3 linked regions of the Saccharomyces cerevisiae S288C genome follow. The protein of the gene in region 1 interacts with the protein of each later gene in a biochemical or structural test. Each region holds a gene or a part of one and is shown on either strand. Other genes may lie near its edges.

Region 1 (8,448 bases):
GGTTGAGGTCAAATCAAAATCTGAACTATAATAAAAAGATCCATTGGATAATAGTTTCTTCAATTCATAGCATGGATGTTTTGGCAAGGCGTCTTGATATTCAGTTGAAGCAGTCTCCGGCAACACAGGATAACCTGAGGAGTCGATTTCAATAAAATCCCAACTGTTGTCATTTAAACAAAAAAAATCGACAGCAAAAATTTTGTTCACAGTCTCTCCTGGGCATGGCTGTGCAACTTTTGATTTCCCAGTGATGGCACCAACAAACAGCAGGCCATTAACCTCAATGAGTCCGATAACACCAAAAATTTCGTGTGATGTAAGTCTTTTGAAGCCATATTTTTTCAAATCATTTTTTTGAAGAAGTTCAATGGCACAAAGGGGTTTATCAGATGGCTTTTTCCCAACCGGTTTAAGAACAAGAGCATACAAGTTGGATACAATGGCTAGCCTCCTTTCAGGTTCTTCTGAAACAAAGATAATCATTCTATGAAGGAGTGGATAACTAGATATTCTTCGCCCCAGTTATTTTCTTTCTTCCTCTTAAGGTACTGCTAGCTTTCTTAATATGATATTGGATATTGACTGTTCTCCCTTCACAAAGTCTCAAATTACACTACTCCTAGCTCACTCAACAGTTGCAGTAGTGCTCGAAAAATCCCTATTCGGATTCAGTTAAGATTATGCGGTGGGTGGGCCTGGGTAAAATGTTTCACGAAAGGAAATGGTACCATGGGAAAAAAAGCAAAAAAAAATAATAAAACTATAAACGAAAGAAACTTTCCACACAGACATCGAAGAAGTGTTTGGAAACTTCGCTGAAAGATGTCTTTTTAACGTGAAATAAGTTACTTTTCTGTGCCATTTATAAATAAAAATACATATATATATAACATGAGTAATCATAAGCTACTCCTTTCTATTACTCTGCCAGTAGAACATCCCCGGAATGAATAATATTATTGACAGTAGCAAATACCGCCTTAATAGATGCATCCCCAGTGTCTTCGGAGACACCAACACCCCACATATTACTAGTAGCATGATTATTGATGTCCTTTATGTAGGAAAGATTTATGAAAGATGCCGCTTGGGTTGCAGAACCAGAACCCAAGGAATGTTCAGAGTAGTTTTGAACGCTCAACTTAACATTCAGTAAATTGGATAGCGCATCCACCAAAGAAGAGATAGGACCATTTCCGTAGCCTTCGATGTTGACAACCTTATCGTTGATTTCTACCTGGCCCACTAAAGCTCTACGCTCTGGGTTCAATTTCTTAACTTCGTAATTCAACAAGGTGACGTATATATGTTCATTGTTGTTGTAGTTGTAAGTTTCTTTGAACAATTTTGTAATCTCTTCGGATTTTAACTCTCTTCCTAAGGCATCTGCATTTTTCTGTAGAGTATTGGAGAAATCAACTTGCATTGGTCTTGGTACATCTAATCCTAGAGATCTCATAATAACCCAAGCAGCACCACCCTTACCGGATTGAGAGTTGACTCTGATGACGGCTTCGTAATCACGTCCAATATCCTTTGGATCCAATGGTAAGTATGGAATTCTCCACCGAGTTTCTCCTTGAGCCTGTTTCTTGTTTTGGATTGCAAATCCCTTCTTAATTGCATCCTGATGAGAACCAGAAAAGGCAGAAACAACCAATTCACCGCCATATGGGGCTCTTGGGGGAATTGGAATCTTGTTACAGCGATGGACAATTTCAGAAATTGAAGTTAAATCTGAGAAATCTAAATTAGGAGAAACACCTTGGGTATACATATTCATGGCAACTGTAACCAAATCAACATTACCTGTACGTTCACCATTACCAAATAGACAACCTTCTACACGATCAGCGCCTGCAAGCATACCTAATTCTGTGGCGGCGACACCGCAACCACGGTCATTGTGACAATGCGTAGAAATACAGACCTTCTCACGCTCAGTAATGTGGGTAGAGAAGTACTCAATTTGATCAGCGTAAACATTTGGAGAGGCAACTTCTACAGTAGCTGGTAAGTTGAAAATGATCGGATTTTCCTCGGTAGGTTCCCAAGCCTTTTTAACAGCTTCACAAATTTCTACAGCAAATTCACCTGGCGTATCACTGAAACATTCGGGAGAAAACTCATAGGACCAACGAGTAGCTTGCTGGGAAGGGTCATCCTTGGTTAGTTTCCTAACCAGTTTGGTGGCTTCTACAGCTTTAGAAATAGCTTCCTCTCTAGACATATTGAAGACAATTTCTCGGAACATGTCACTTGTGGCCAAGTAAGTATGTATGGTAGCCCTTTTAGCACCAGTCAATGCTTCCACGGTTCTTTTAATCAAGTGTTCTCTAGATTGGACAAGACATTGAATACCAACATCATCTGGAGCGTTTTCTACAGCATACCTGGTGAAGTCGAAATCTGTTTGAGATGCAGAGGGGAAAGACACTTCGATTTCTTTGAAACCGATGTTGATCAACTTGTGGAAATATTCTTTCTTTTGAGCCACAGACATTGGGTCCGGTAAAGATTGATTACCGTCCCTCAAGTCAGTAGACAGCCAACGTGGAGCCTTTTGAATAGTTTTGTCAGGCCAAATCCTCTTGACCATTTTTGGTGGAGCAAACGCCCTATATTTTACCGATGGGTCCCGTAGCATATTTTTATAAGTCAGTTTGACGGGTGGGATAGACCTTCTTAGTTTACTAGCATGCTCAGCTAGCGCTATGAACGAATGTTTTACCATGGCTACGCGGCTAAATGATAATGTGCCGATAGTATTATCCTAAGGAGAAGACCCTTATAAGCCGAAAACAAGGATTGTGATTTCGTGGAGTAAAGTAAGGCATTATTGAAATTTAACAGCTAACTTCCAATCAAGCCAGTAAGAGGCAAAACTATGTTGTAGTTGTGATTCTGGACATCGTTTTTAATTTTTTTTTTTTTTTTTTTTTTTTTTTTCATTTTTTGGCAAGGCCGAAAGAGATGGAAAAATATGAGTCATTCACTACGACCGTTACCGGACCATGATGGCGCGCGGCACCAAAATAGACGAATGAAGTATATAACAAGCGCCATGCAGAAGGAAGAGCTAACATTAATTACTATACAGATAAATGTTTAGTGTTTGAATATGACAACATATAAAAGAAGACTGTGCCCAATGCTCTTATTTTAAATGCCTGTGAAATAATTATATGCAGTGTCATGTACGTAAAATTAAATAAAAACTAAAGTTACAAACAATATGAGCGTGATGAAATGAAGTAAATTGTGTGAAATGAATTAATATGAAACGAGGGAACTAGCCAGAAAAGCGGATTTTCTATCGTTGTTCTACTTAATCAAAGTTCTAATCTTGATTAACTGATATCATGCAAATTTAGCTTTTTAAAGCCGTTTTCAACGCTTTTTTCATTTTTACCGATCGCTTTATTGGGTAATGGCGATGAGGATGAAGATATTTGTGTCTCCACAGATGATGAAGAGGCTATCTTTGTTGATGACTGTTTTGTCCTTTCAAACGGTTTTGAACATTGCTGTTATAATGGCTACAAATGACGCCTGAAGGCTGTTTGAAAGATTTCCGTTTTTTAACAAAGTTAAGTTTTTGCAATAAACCTTTCCCCGAGTTGAGAATTCCTGTATTTTGCGGTTTTTGCAGATTTCTAGTGCTGGTATTCTTGTAGGTCGAGCTGGTAGTGTTGAGTGAGGAAGAGGACTCGCTTGGCCGAGAAGTGCGATCGCTGCATTGCGACTCATTGGTCGTGTTTGCAGACGTTTCTTGAATGATAGTTGACAAACCATTGATATCAGGCTTCTTAAGATACGAATTTCTATCTTCAGAAATATCCTCCACGCCTAATGACGAAAAAGAAGTTGTAGACTCGTTTTTGAGATCTTGTTCCGTAGCAGAGTCATTGTGGGCATATGTGGCGGAGTACTTTTTCTCATTAACAGAACTCACAAATCGGTGATACCCGTCCATTAATAGGCCCATCACATGGCTAATGGCACACAGGACGTCTACGTCGGCAGGTACTTCATTGTTAGCAAAGCACTTCTCAAATATCTCCCTAGTATCCTGTGAAAAGTTGCATTCTTTGGGGGAGTCCACGGCAATGTATTTTATGTACAACGACTTGTTCCAAACTTCCAAGAGCTTCTCCTCGCTAATACTCCTGTTTTGCTTAAGCTGGAGGAACTGATGAGCTTTTTCGAAAAATTCTAAATTTTCCTCACAATGAGCTCTTTTTAGAAATTTGTAAAACTTTTGTATTGTGTAAGGAGAACGCATCCGTTCGTGATGCCCTTTTCGCAGTTGAATCAGCACTGTATTGCTACTTTCAGCATCGCCGTCGCTGCGACTATTCTTTTCTAGCGGTATCAGTATGTCGCATAGACTTGGTACACTCGCCATCTGGCATGTGCTGAATTTTCTTCGTTTTATGTATCAAAGGTGCCTTACCTAAGATGTTTTGATATTTATATAGCCAATGTAATATTTTTTTTTTCTTCTCTTTCCTTGCCTCGTCGCTTGAGTTGTTTGCTTTTAGTGATCACCGTTGACTTTGTAAAAATCCGTTTAGTCAATTTTGGCAACTGGTTCAAGCAATGTGCAACGGAAATGGTATAGATGTGATGTGGTATAATATGTTATTAATTTGATTACTAGCGCCTTAACTATCTTTATTCAGCAAGTTTTTTTTTCATCTCCACAAAGGGACGTTTACAAAGGGTATCCCGAAAGAGATACTACATGACGACGTCATATATACGTATATCTCAAGAAAAGAATTGTTAATGATTATGTTTTTTTTTTCTTCTTTCAATTTCCTTTTTCTGATTGTGCTAAAATGAGCGCCGAGCCGCTTCGATCGGGGTACCTGCGCACTTTTCTAGCGGTTCGGTTCGGCAGTTCTTCCCGAAGCATTTAACGCAACCTTGTTCCTCATTCTCCAGCAGGTCTGTGCTTGGTGCGCGACTTTAGCTGCAACGGCGTGGGTGTGCCGCAGCGGACATTTCTTAGTTAGATGTCATCTCGGCTGGACCGGGACGCCACAGTAAGATTTCAAACTGCTGAAAATTTTCGCCAGCAGAATAGCCGCTACTATCAGGCCGTAGCGACAGGATCGTGCCCGCAATAACGTACACATCGAGGTAATTATGCATGATTTCTTTTTTTGCCGAGAAATTCTGCCATTTTTATTAATCCACGCTCTGTCCTTATCTTAGTGACAGGCAAGGATGTTCTGCAAAAGCGAAAATTGAAATAAGATAAATACTTCCGAGCCAGACACGTTCTTATGTTTATCAGGGCCCACAAGGTTCATTTAGAAGACAACGCATACAATGTTTTGTTTCTTGATAACGGTTGGCGGCCGTTAAGCAACAGTAAGGCAAATGACAGTTAACGGAAAATAACAGGGTTCTTACTTTTTACATACAGTAGCACAATCCTTTTTTTATTGGCAGTCGCTAGTAGAAATTCGTGGGGATTTACGGACTACTGAAAAAAGGTCAGTGTAGATCGTACAAAGTAGAAAAAGGAAAAAGGGCATATCGAGCCCTTGCATTTAAACTACGGAGTACAAAAAACACAGGTTGCGCACATGGGAAGTGCACTATCACTAGACATCAAAGGAAATTTTGAGTCAAAAAGAGCGGCTAAGAAACCCCCCTACCACAAAAGAATAAATGCAAAAAATAACTTATACACTCTTATACACTCTTGTTTTCGTAAATAGATAAGATTGGGTCTACCAGAAAGTCTGTGCTCAATGCGCGTTTAAGGAGATTACTAACTTAATACAGCAAGCAATACCACCATGCACACAACTATTATAATGATTAGGGTGACCTTACCGCATTTGTTACGGTCCCTCTGATGCTGGTCTGCTCTGGTTAATTGTTTGTTTGCATTCTGCATGTTATCATGTAAATGCGAGATATTCTCGTCTATGGTGGTTACTTGTTCTCCCTGTTCTTTCACTAATGAACCGAGCTGATGGAAAATAGCATTGACTTCTTGTACCGCCGTATGAATGCGTCCTATCTGTTGGGATCTTTCCTGGTGAATGATTGTTTGAAAATCTAGTTCTTCTTGGGACAATCCTTGCTGTTGTTGTTCTTGTTCTTCTTGCAGCTGTAATTGGTGTTGTCCTTCGTTATGCAGTAAAGGACTCTGCTCGTTTACTTTTATAGAAATATAACTAGACTCTGGATCTTGTCGCACGGCTTCAGTTCGCGGATGGATGTCTTTTCTTTCCTTAGATGTTCCTGGTGAAATAGGCGTTTTTAGAGGGAACAGACTCTTCCTTTGATTGTATGATTGTTGTAGGGATTGATACTTCGTTTTCAGGTTCTTGAAATCAGCAGACAACTTTCCATTTTGGTGAATGAGGATGTTGCTCTCAATTTTATCCCTTACACTGGTGCAGTTCGGTATTAACTCTGTTTCAATTTTGTATCTTAGTTCTTTGGAGTCCCGTTTGGAACCAATTTTGGTGCATTCCTTTTCCAGCACGCGGGATTGTTCAGCGAATGTCTCAATTAAATTGCTTAATTCCTTCGTTTTTTGATTTGTTGAGAATTGTGGTTCTTGCTGGGAGTTACCCTTTGAAGATTGTGCTTCGATGTCGAAAAAGGACATAATCTCAACTTTCTGCAGTGGATATTAGTTGGCCAATTTGTTAATGCTGATCCCGTGGTTTTTTATTGTTCTATTTTCCTTCCTTTAATCTCCTGGCTGCTTTCTTTACATCAAAATCAAAATTCACTACAAAAATGTATATAGAGTTTTTACTGCGCATCTCGCGAAAAAAAAAGTTGTGATGTGAAACTCGAATATGAGGCTGAACGAATATTATCATTTGATTATAATAAGTATTGACTTGTATGATCTTAGTTTTGCTCTTCCTGTGTCCTCGTCAGCACCTAGGTAAACTATATGTTACAAATAGATCACTTTTATCCTGAGGAAAACAACCTAATTTATTGTACATACTAACTGACCAAGAGGAAGTTCACCATTGACTGCCCTTATTTGCATTTTAAAAGTTGCGGTTTCTGGTGTTACCTGTTAGAAGGCACCTTTTTAGCAACCGGTACAAGGAAAAACTCGTTGGAAGATTTTTTTTTACTTTCCTTTCCGTAAACGCAAGCTCACAGTTATTCCTGAAGAAATTCCTAATTGGTTCTTGCAAAATCTACCAATGAATCCTCTTGATCTTAAAATGTCTGACTGATTATTCAAAAGAAGGGGGAATATATATTTACCTCATTAGTAATATCTATCGCTTTGGTTTGGTTTATATCCCTGATATGATTGATAATTTTCGGTTGGATATGGACTTCTATGATTAGAGGAGGGAGTATTGTAACTGTTTCCCTGGAGGTTATTATTGATGTTATTATTATCGTAATAATAGTTCTCGCCATAATCGCTGATGTCAAAAATTGGAGATTGTGAAGCAACATGAGCGTTGTTGCTACCAGTATTGGCCGCATTTTGGATAAACGAATTTCTAGCATCATATTGCGGCTGAGGGCTGCTACCTTCGAAATTTTCTTCTTCATACACTAGAGGGGCCACCCTACTAGGGCTGCGTCCTTCTTTATTTCTTTCCTTCTGTTGTTTTTTCCTTGTTTTCTCTTTTTGTTTTTCCAAATCGAAATCTTCCTCTAATTCATACACCTCATTACTGGGAGTTTTGACTTCGTCGTAAAATGTATCATTCTTCGCATCGTTTCTATAATACGCACTTTCAGGTTGTTGAATAGGCTGATAAATCACAGTAGAAGGAGGAGCCACGCCCATATTAACTCTACTAAAACCCTCATTTACCGGCATTGTATTGTTTCCATTTCTGTCATTAGAACAACGACAACACCAACAAATGAACTGACCTATTCCTGTTACCCCTTGCCTGAAACATGTCAGTAAGCCCCCAATCAACCAAATCACAAGAATACAGGCCAAAACAATACCAACAATCGCAATAATTTTACATGCTTTATTGTCCATGCAGGTGTCCCAGCTTCGGAAACTTTTTCCTGTACTTACTACACCATCTGTAAAGGACGATCTCGGAAATAGTGGTACTATTTCTTTCAACTTGCAAACGTTCATTACTGTGTATACGCTTGGGAGTCTTTGATTATATTTCTAGTATTTTCTTGAAACGGTTATTTTGCTAAAAATAAACAAGATAAAAAAAATCTAAAAAGTCACGACCGGGGGTGGTTATTCTTGATCTAAGTAGCAAATATGTAATATATTTGAAACTTTCTTGCGCCCCTTTAATTTTGAAGTTCTTCTAGGCTTTTATCCAGTTCTAGAGTAGAAGTTGCGGTTCCAGTAGATCTTGAAGCTTTTTCGAGATGCATCATTTATATTTTTCCCCATTTGGTTATAAGAGAAGAGGCATTTTCCTACAACGAAAAATAAGCATAAAA
Region 2 (3,873 bases), on another chromosome or scaffold:
TATATATTACCATAGATTCTTCTTGTTTTGGTTTTGTAAATCCAGTCCGCTTAAAGAACGATTCAAGCCCTGTTCCAAGCCATCATCTAGTCCAGAGTGACTCAAAGATTTATAGATCAAGTCGGCACTATTCAAATTGTGTGCGGACAACATGGACTCATCGTGATAAGACTGATATGAGAAATTAGAATGTACTGAGCCATTTGTGTGCTGTGGAAGCAGTTGGGACTGTGAGTTTGCTGAAGATGGGCCGTTAAGGTTGTACAACTGCTGGGAAGACAATGAAGCATTTTGGTATGCCACTGGTACCCGTTGTTGAGTTTGGGACTGTGCTGGTGGTTGCGCTTGGGATAGGGTTTGGCTGTTGATTGGGATTTGTGAATTTGGAGGTGAAATTTGAGAATTTCTCAGTAAGGGATTAACGGAATTGATTTGATAATGGTTGGCAGAATAACCGGATGGAATTCTTGAGGATGGTGTTAAAGTAGCTTGTTGTCTTAAAAAAGATTGTTGTTGTTGCGCAGCTGACTGAACATTTTGCTGTGTTTGTGGTTGAGGTTGTTGCGGTTGGTCTGCGGAATTGTATTGAGAACTATGGTGTATGTTCATTTTAGGTGAGGTTAGTGTTGGTTGCATGGAGAATTGTCCCTGTGAAGAAATTTTTGGTGTTGAGCTGGCGCTATTGTTATTAATGATGACATTGTTACCGTTACCGTTATTACTGTTAATAGTATTGCTGTTGGAAGAATTGTTAACGGCCTGATTGCTAATACTATTCGCTGCAGCTGCTGCATGGGCCTGTAACAAACTTGTATAAGATTGTGACCTATTCATGGAGCCGCCAGTGGAGTTTGGCTGCAAAGGATGAGCAGATGTCATTTGACCTTGTTGTTGCAAATGAGATTGTAAATTAGCATGATCCAGAATCTTTCTTCTGATAATAATAAATCTTGGATCATATACTTCTACTAGCCCTAAGTACGAGCACAAAACATTGATAATTCTCTTGTGGGAAGCGGATATACCCATGGGATAAGCCAACTCGTAATAATACTTTTCTCTATCCTTAAATAACAATAATTGGGAATAAATTTCCAAAGTGTCAGGGTCATTGAAGTCCAGTTGTTGGGGTGGGAGAGGCAAAGTGGAAGTTGATGGTAAAGGCGCATAAAATCTCTCAGTGGACATCTGGGCTTGATTATTAACGTTTGTTTGGTACAACGATGAAGAAGTATGTTGGGCAGAAAGTGAAGGTTGGTTCAGAATGATGTTACCACTATTGTTGTTATTAGAACTGTTATTGTTAATGGTATTATTCATTGGACTGTTCATCATGCTATTAGCATTAATGCCGTTCATTAGAGTCGAGAATAATTGATTGTTAGAAGTATTATTGTTTCCGCTTCCACTCATTTTAGATAAAGAATCCAAAGAAAGATTAGATGACGATCTGTGTTGTTCTTCTAATTGTCCTCTTTTCTCTCTCTTCTCCCTCTCGATTCTTTCTCTTTCAGCTTGGGGAAGCATTTTTTTATATTCCACTTTCAATTTCCTCCCGCTGATTTCCTTTCCATTCAAAGAAGTTATCACTTGAGTAGTTTCTTCAGGAGTGGTGAAATTCGCAAAGGCTAGTCCTCTGAAAATACCGTTATCAAAGTGGTAATTGAAGGCATAAGGAAGGGGAAGATCCATTTCTTCAATAATGTCTAACAATTGCTCTTTTTTAATAGCAAACGGAATGTTTTTAATAACAATAGCATTTGGGATAACATCATCGTCCAAAGCACCATTGGTGGGGGCATTATTCAAATTTGTAGAAGAAACGTTTTGTTCGGCATTTTTTGCAGAGTTCTCACCAGTTTCCGTTTGCACACCGTTTTCTTTGTCAATTGCATCTCTAGTTTCGATAGATTGCTGATTTGTTTCCTGGTCATTAGTCTCCGTATTTATATTATTATCCTGAGCATCATTGATGGCTGCAGGAGGAGCATTCTCAAAAGAACTGGTCTCCATTTCTTATTGTTGTTGAACACGCTTTCCCTAGTCTGTAGCCTGCCTCTATGAGTACTATATCACACTTCTTCTTGCGCTAATCTCCAAAGACCTGCTGGTAATCTCAGCTGAAAGGCTGCCTTTAATTGTTATTCTTTTCCAGGAAAAAATCGCAAAGTTGCAGCATCCGTGTTTCGTGACATCATTGAAGGTTACCCTAATCTATTACCTCGGATTAACTTGAATTAATAAGGACACACAGGTATAGGGAAGGTAAAGTTGAAGTAATGATAAGAAGTGGGCAGCACCGAAGCAGTTTATCTGAACTAACTTCTGTACGACTCGAGAATATAGTAAGAACACCATCATTAACCTGAAAGTTAAAAATGTCAGACCCTGTAGAGTTATTGAAAAGAGTATGTAGTAGGGAAATATATCAAAGGAACAAAATGAAAGCTATGTGATTCCGTAATTTACGAAGGCAAATTACTAACATTGAAATACGGGAATTGATATTTCCCGTTGTGTTAAGGCTGAGAAGAAGGGTGTTCCTTCATCGGGTTTCATGAAATTGTTTAGCGGTTCTGATTCATACAAGTTTGAGGAGGCTGCTGATCTTTGTGTCCAAGCAGCCACCATTTACCGTCTAAGAAAAGAGTTAAACTTGGCAGGAGACTCGTTTTTGAAAGCTGCTGACTATCAGAAAAAGGCTGGTAATGAAGACGAAGCAGGAAATACCTACGTAGAGGCTTATAAATGCTTTAAAAGCGGTGGAAACTCTGTGAACGCCGTGGATTCATTAGAAAATGCTATTCAAATTTTTACTCATAGGGGGCAGTTCCGGAGAGGTGCTAATTTCAAGTTTGAGCTTGGAGAAATTCTAGAAAATGATTTGCATGACTATGCAAAAGCTATAGATTGCTATGAGCTCGCTGGTGAGTGGTATGCCCAAGACCAGTCGGTAGCATTATCGAATAAGTGTTTTATCAAATGCGCAGATCTAAAGGCTCTTGACGGTCAATATATTGAAGCAAGTGATATATATTCGAAGTTGATCAAGAGCAGCATGGGCAATAGATTGAGCCAATGGAGTTTGAAGGATTACTTCCTAAAAAAAGGGCTTTGTCAGCTAGCTGCTACTGATGCAGTCGCTGCTGCAAGAACTTTACAAGAGGGTCAAAGTGAAGATCCGAATTTTGCGGATTCAAGGGAGTCAAATTTCTTGAAAAGTTTAATCGATGCTGTTAATGAAGGTGATAGCGAGCAGCTAAGCGAACACTGTAAGGAGTTTGACAATTTTATGAGACTAGATAAATGGAAAATTACCATTTTGAATAAAATTAAGGAGTCCATCCAGCAACAAGAAGATGATTTGTTATGAACGGCATATACTTACGCGCACATACATATATACATATATATTATAAATGTAACACTTGTTTTACCCGAAACGGCGAAGTAATTGTGTACCGCCGTGCACCTTTTCCTCGAGATAAACATATAGCGATGACTTAGAGAACAAAGTAGTATTAGTATCATATACTTCCAACGTTAATCAAGCGCAATAAACCTTTGTTCGTGTGTTTCAAAGTTATTGCAAGAGCGAAGTTGAAGCCATCTTTTCACGAGAAGTTAGCTGTGGTTCGAGTCTGTCGCACGCCGTGTAATGTAAGGATCTTCCCTTAGCTTTTCTGATCCGGAGCCCTTGAGGGATATTACGCATCGCGTATCTTCATACGATTACTGTACTTTGCTGACTTGCATTCTTGATATTGGGCTATAGTTGGCACTTCGCTCGTTTCTTTTCTTTCGTTATATAACGTAACCTTTTTTTTTTTAACTTCCTTATCCTGCCCCTTATCACTCTGAACCCCATAGATA
Region 3 (3,401 bases), on another chromosome or scaffold:
CACCATTTTGGACTTAACCGAAGAAGAAAAGCGCCATCATAGGATAGGGGGCACCCATTCTGGGTTGACACCACAAAGCAGCATTTCAAGTGACAAGGCTAGACATTTGATGGAGGAAATGAATGAAGAGGAAGGTATTCACGAAACTGTGGTACCTGAAGATCGTCACAACTTTGAAACCAAGCTTATAGGCAAGCTAAAAGATAAGGTGAAAAATATGAAAGTAACTGACAAGGCTAAAGATGAGGATATAGACCCAATGGACCCAATGAGTCCGTTGAATAAGGATGTGTCTTGATTAACTGCGGTGAACCTTCAATATCTGTACGTTTGAAAAATATTTCCAACGATATACCTCTATATTTTGATCTATAGAATATTTAATTGCAGTAGTTTTTTATCAGTAAGGTAGCGTTGATATTACTAGTGAAGGTAACTCTATAGTTCCTTGACATGTTCTTTAGATTCTAGAGGTTTTTTATTGAATTTGTTTTCCCACCTTATTTAAACTTTGAGAACAAAACTAGCAAAATCAATAATATAAGGACTGCGATAATGGCATAGCTTATGAATTTATTAGCAACTAGCCTTCTAGTCATTGTTTTTAGTGTCTTTATACTTTTATCCACATATGAATCCGCTTGAAACAAGGTCTGTCTTGCATTTTCCAAAGTTTCTCTCTGTGACCTTAAATCCATCATTATTTGTGACCCTATTCCTTCAGTTTCATTTGCTATTCTACTGGCATCTTTTAGTCTATCTCCCGATTTCTGTAAGATTGCATGGTTGCTCAACAACTGTTGCCTTTGGTCATCGTCAATATTAGATGCGTTAAGATCTCCAAAAAGTCTATCACGATCGCCTGAGTCTACTAAGGATTGCAGTGGTCGTTTGATATCGCTCTGTATAGTCTTCTTCCATTCTCTTAACTTCGCCTTGTACGTAGCACGTTCTGAGGCATCGCCTATGCTGTTATTAACTTCTACATCCATCTGATCTAGCAGGTCAAACAACTCATCTTGTTGCTGTTCTACGTGCTTCAGTGTAGTATTTCTCTGTGATAACGGTTGTGAGGGGGCCTCTGCTAAGCTCGCTTTGGCTTGTTCTAAGGTTGTTTTGAAGTCAGATTCGTATGATATTAATAGGGAACTCATAGTAAGCCATGCAGCAATGTAAAGAGTGCGGTTGATTCGTTTTATACAACTTAATGTAAAGCTTTACACTTTTCCAAGAATAGTAATTGCCCTATATAGCACGACTACTCCACTCCTAACTTTCATTGAAAATTAGACAGTCATGTGATCAGTAATATCGTCCATAGTGATATTTGTTTGTTTACCATTTTTGTTCTTATTTACTCTCTAATATGATTCTAGTATATGAAAGATACCACTGTCGTAGCTCGTATCAAAATAAAACTAGTCAGTCGTTGACCATTGAGCATATCGTCCGAGAATAAGGCTTTACTGTATTATTTTTTGATATCCACACGTTATTGAGCTCATTCACTGATCGACACATTTAGGCGGCTTTTCCGTTTGGCTGAAGCAACTTTGAAACACAACTACGACATTATAATTAAGCGCCTAAATAAGTGAATTTTGTGCCATAGGGTTGGACCGTGTATATATAAGAGCTATTCACTATTTTAATATTTGTTTTGGCATTTGAAACTCGTTGACATAAGCTTTATTATTAGGATGAATAACTCCAAAATTCCTAAACTTTCCTTTCATAGTGATCCAAACAACGTCACTCGAGACTTTCCAAAGACAAAACGACAGAAGGTTCAGAAAAGAGAAATGGATATGATACTAACTCCTAATAACAACAAGCTAAATATATTGCACAGCTCTGGATCTGGTATACGGCGCTGCTACACTGATGACACCTCCGCTACGTATACTAAGAAACTAACCTTTGGGGGGGACCCCAAGATTATTGAAAGGGTTAAGAACAATGAACGTAAGGTTAGAAAAGACATAGATTCACTACTGAATGCTATTTCTGAAATTGAAAAGGAATCTGTTCGTATTCATGCCAGGGAACTACCTGCAATAACATTAGAATTAGATGCAAAAGTCAAAGCGTGCAGGGAGCTACAAAATGAGATTGATGGACTATCAACGGAGATGGACTTGAAGGATAATCAATGTGATCTTCAAAGAAAGAATGTTGAGCTATCATCAAAAAATATAGTGTCTATGCATGCAGTAAAAGTACAAGAGTTCGAAAACGATTTAGAGGAAGAGCTATCGAATGCCAAAAGGGAGTGGACGTATAAATTAATGGAAGTAGAAAATTTGAAACCTGACGAAAGGTTAACTGACGAAATGCGACAGCTTAAAACAGAATTCGAGGAGGTCAATAGGAAACTATTCATTCTACAGAATGAAAATGAGAACGAGTGTAAAAACTACAAAAAAGAATTGGACAAGAAATTCGAGATATTCAAGAAAGTTAAGAACGATGCTAGAATTGAATTAGATGGGGAGCAAGAAAGACTTTCGAAAGTTTTAAAAGACCTACAAGACACCCATGGTGAACTGAAAGAAAATATTAAGACGTGTAGAGATGAGTTTAACGATTTTGAAAAAAGGATTGGAGAGGCAGAAGTGAACTTCCATAGCATGGAACTTGCCGTTGTTCCTCTCAAAAAGAAGCTTGCTTCTACATCACAAGCATTGACGCAAGTGCAGGAGGAGAAGAAGCAAGTCGAAGGAGAAGCAAACAATTGGAAGAAGAAGTACGTTAATGAACTAGAAAAGGTTCAACAGGAATTATACACACGACAAAATCTGGCCACTTCAATTGAAGAAATCAAAGGATACACCCGATGCTTTGCGTATGCCAATGAACGACAAATGCCTGATGAATTCCATATCAACTATGTGGATCGGTGCATTTGCGAGAATAGTGGAGAAAAACGGGTACAAGTATTTGATAGAGTAGTTCTCGAAGAAATCCATAAGGATCACAAACGCTTATATAACGAATGCATTCCGTTCCTGGAAAAATACATCAGCAAGTTAATTAACTGCAGCATTATAGTGGTTTCGCAGCAACCCACAGCACCAATGAAAAAGACTTTGCTAAAACAGTTAATTGAGCAGTACGGTGAGAATTATAAGATGACATTGAACATTTTGCATCTTGACGGAAGTATTAAACACAGTGACGTTGGATTAGATAACCCAACAGAAATTAGAGATCTGTCACAAGATGAAGAATGCATGAACATTTTAACTTTAGATACCAAGTTGGGAAAAGATGAAGAGTCCCATTCAATGAATATATATATCGGTAGTATGTCCACGGTACAGCTGAATAGAGAGCTTGATGATGCTCCCTCAGTCCTTTCGCATATTCTCACTAAAACAAAGCAGTGCTTTGTCTTCAAG

Evidence for each region.
Region 2: the proteins of VAM3 (region 1) and SEC17 form a complex in vitro, tested with the Saccharomyces cerevisiae proteins (3 studies listed by BioGRID).
Region 3: the proteins of VAM3 (region 1) and VTI1 form a complex in vitro, tested with the Saccharomyces cerevisiae proteins (6 studies listed by BioGRID).

What each region holds. Positions count from the first base shown.
Region 1 is NC_001147.6:517,316-525,763, reverse strand, and holds VAM3 (SNAP receptor VAM3), read right to left. Parts: upstream 6,644-8,448; coding exon 5,792-6,643; downstream 1-5,791. Other genes in the region: phosphatidylinositol-3-/phosphoinositide 5-phosphatase INP53, read right to left, coding at 1-486; 2-isopropylmalate synthase LEU9, read right to left, coding at 923-2,737; GTPase-activating protein RGS2, read right to left, coding at 3,482-4,411; YOR105W (uncharacterized protein), read right to left, coding at 7,243-7,569; PIN2 (Pin2p), read right to left, coding at 7,274-8,122. UniProt on the Saccharomyces cerevisiae protein: Required for vacuolar assembly. Provides the t-SNARE function in a late step of the vacuolar assembly. Required for homotypic vacuole membrane fusion, autophagy and fusion of biosynthetic transport vesicles with the vacuole.
Region 2 is NC_001134.8:122,747-126,619, forward strand, and holds SEC17 (alpha-soluble NSF attachment protein SEC17), read left to right. Parts: upstream 1-2,378; coding exon 2,379-2,408; intron 2,409-2,524; coding exon 2,525-3,373; downstream 3,374-3,873. Other genes in the region: PIN4 (Pin4p), read right to left, coding at 7-2,013. UniProt on the Saccharomyces cerevisiae protein: SNARE complex protein that binds to cis-SNARE complexes on membranes and is required for vesicular transport between the endoplasmic reticulum and the Golgi apparatus and for homotypic vacuole fusion.
Region 3 is NC_001145.3:658,045-661,445, forward strand, and holds VTI1 (v-SNARE protein VTI1), read right to left. Parts: upstream 1,155-3,401; coding exon 501-1,154; downstream 1-500. Other genes in the region: YMR196W (uncharacterized protein), read left to right, coding at 1-298; CIK1 (Cik1p), read left to right, coding at 1,701-3,401. UniProt on the Saccharomyces cerevisiae protein: t-SNARE found in various SNARE complexes involved in multiple transport pathways. The composition of the t-SNARE complexes is specific for a limited number of v-SNAREs and therefore allows only the vesicles carrying the matching v-SNARE to fuse.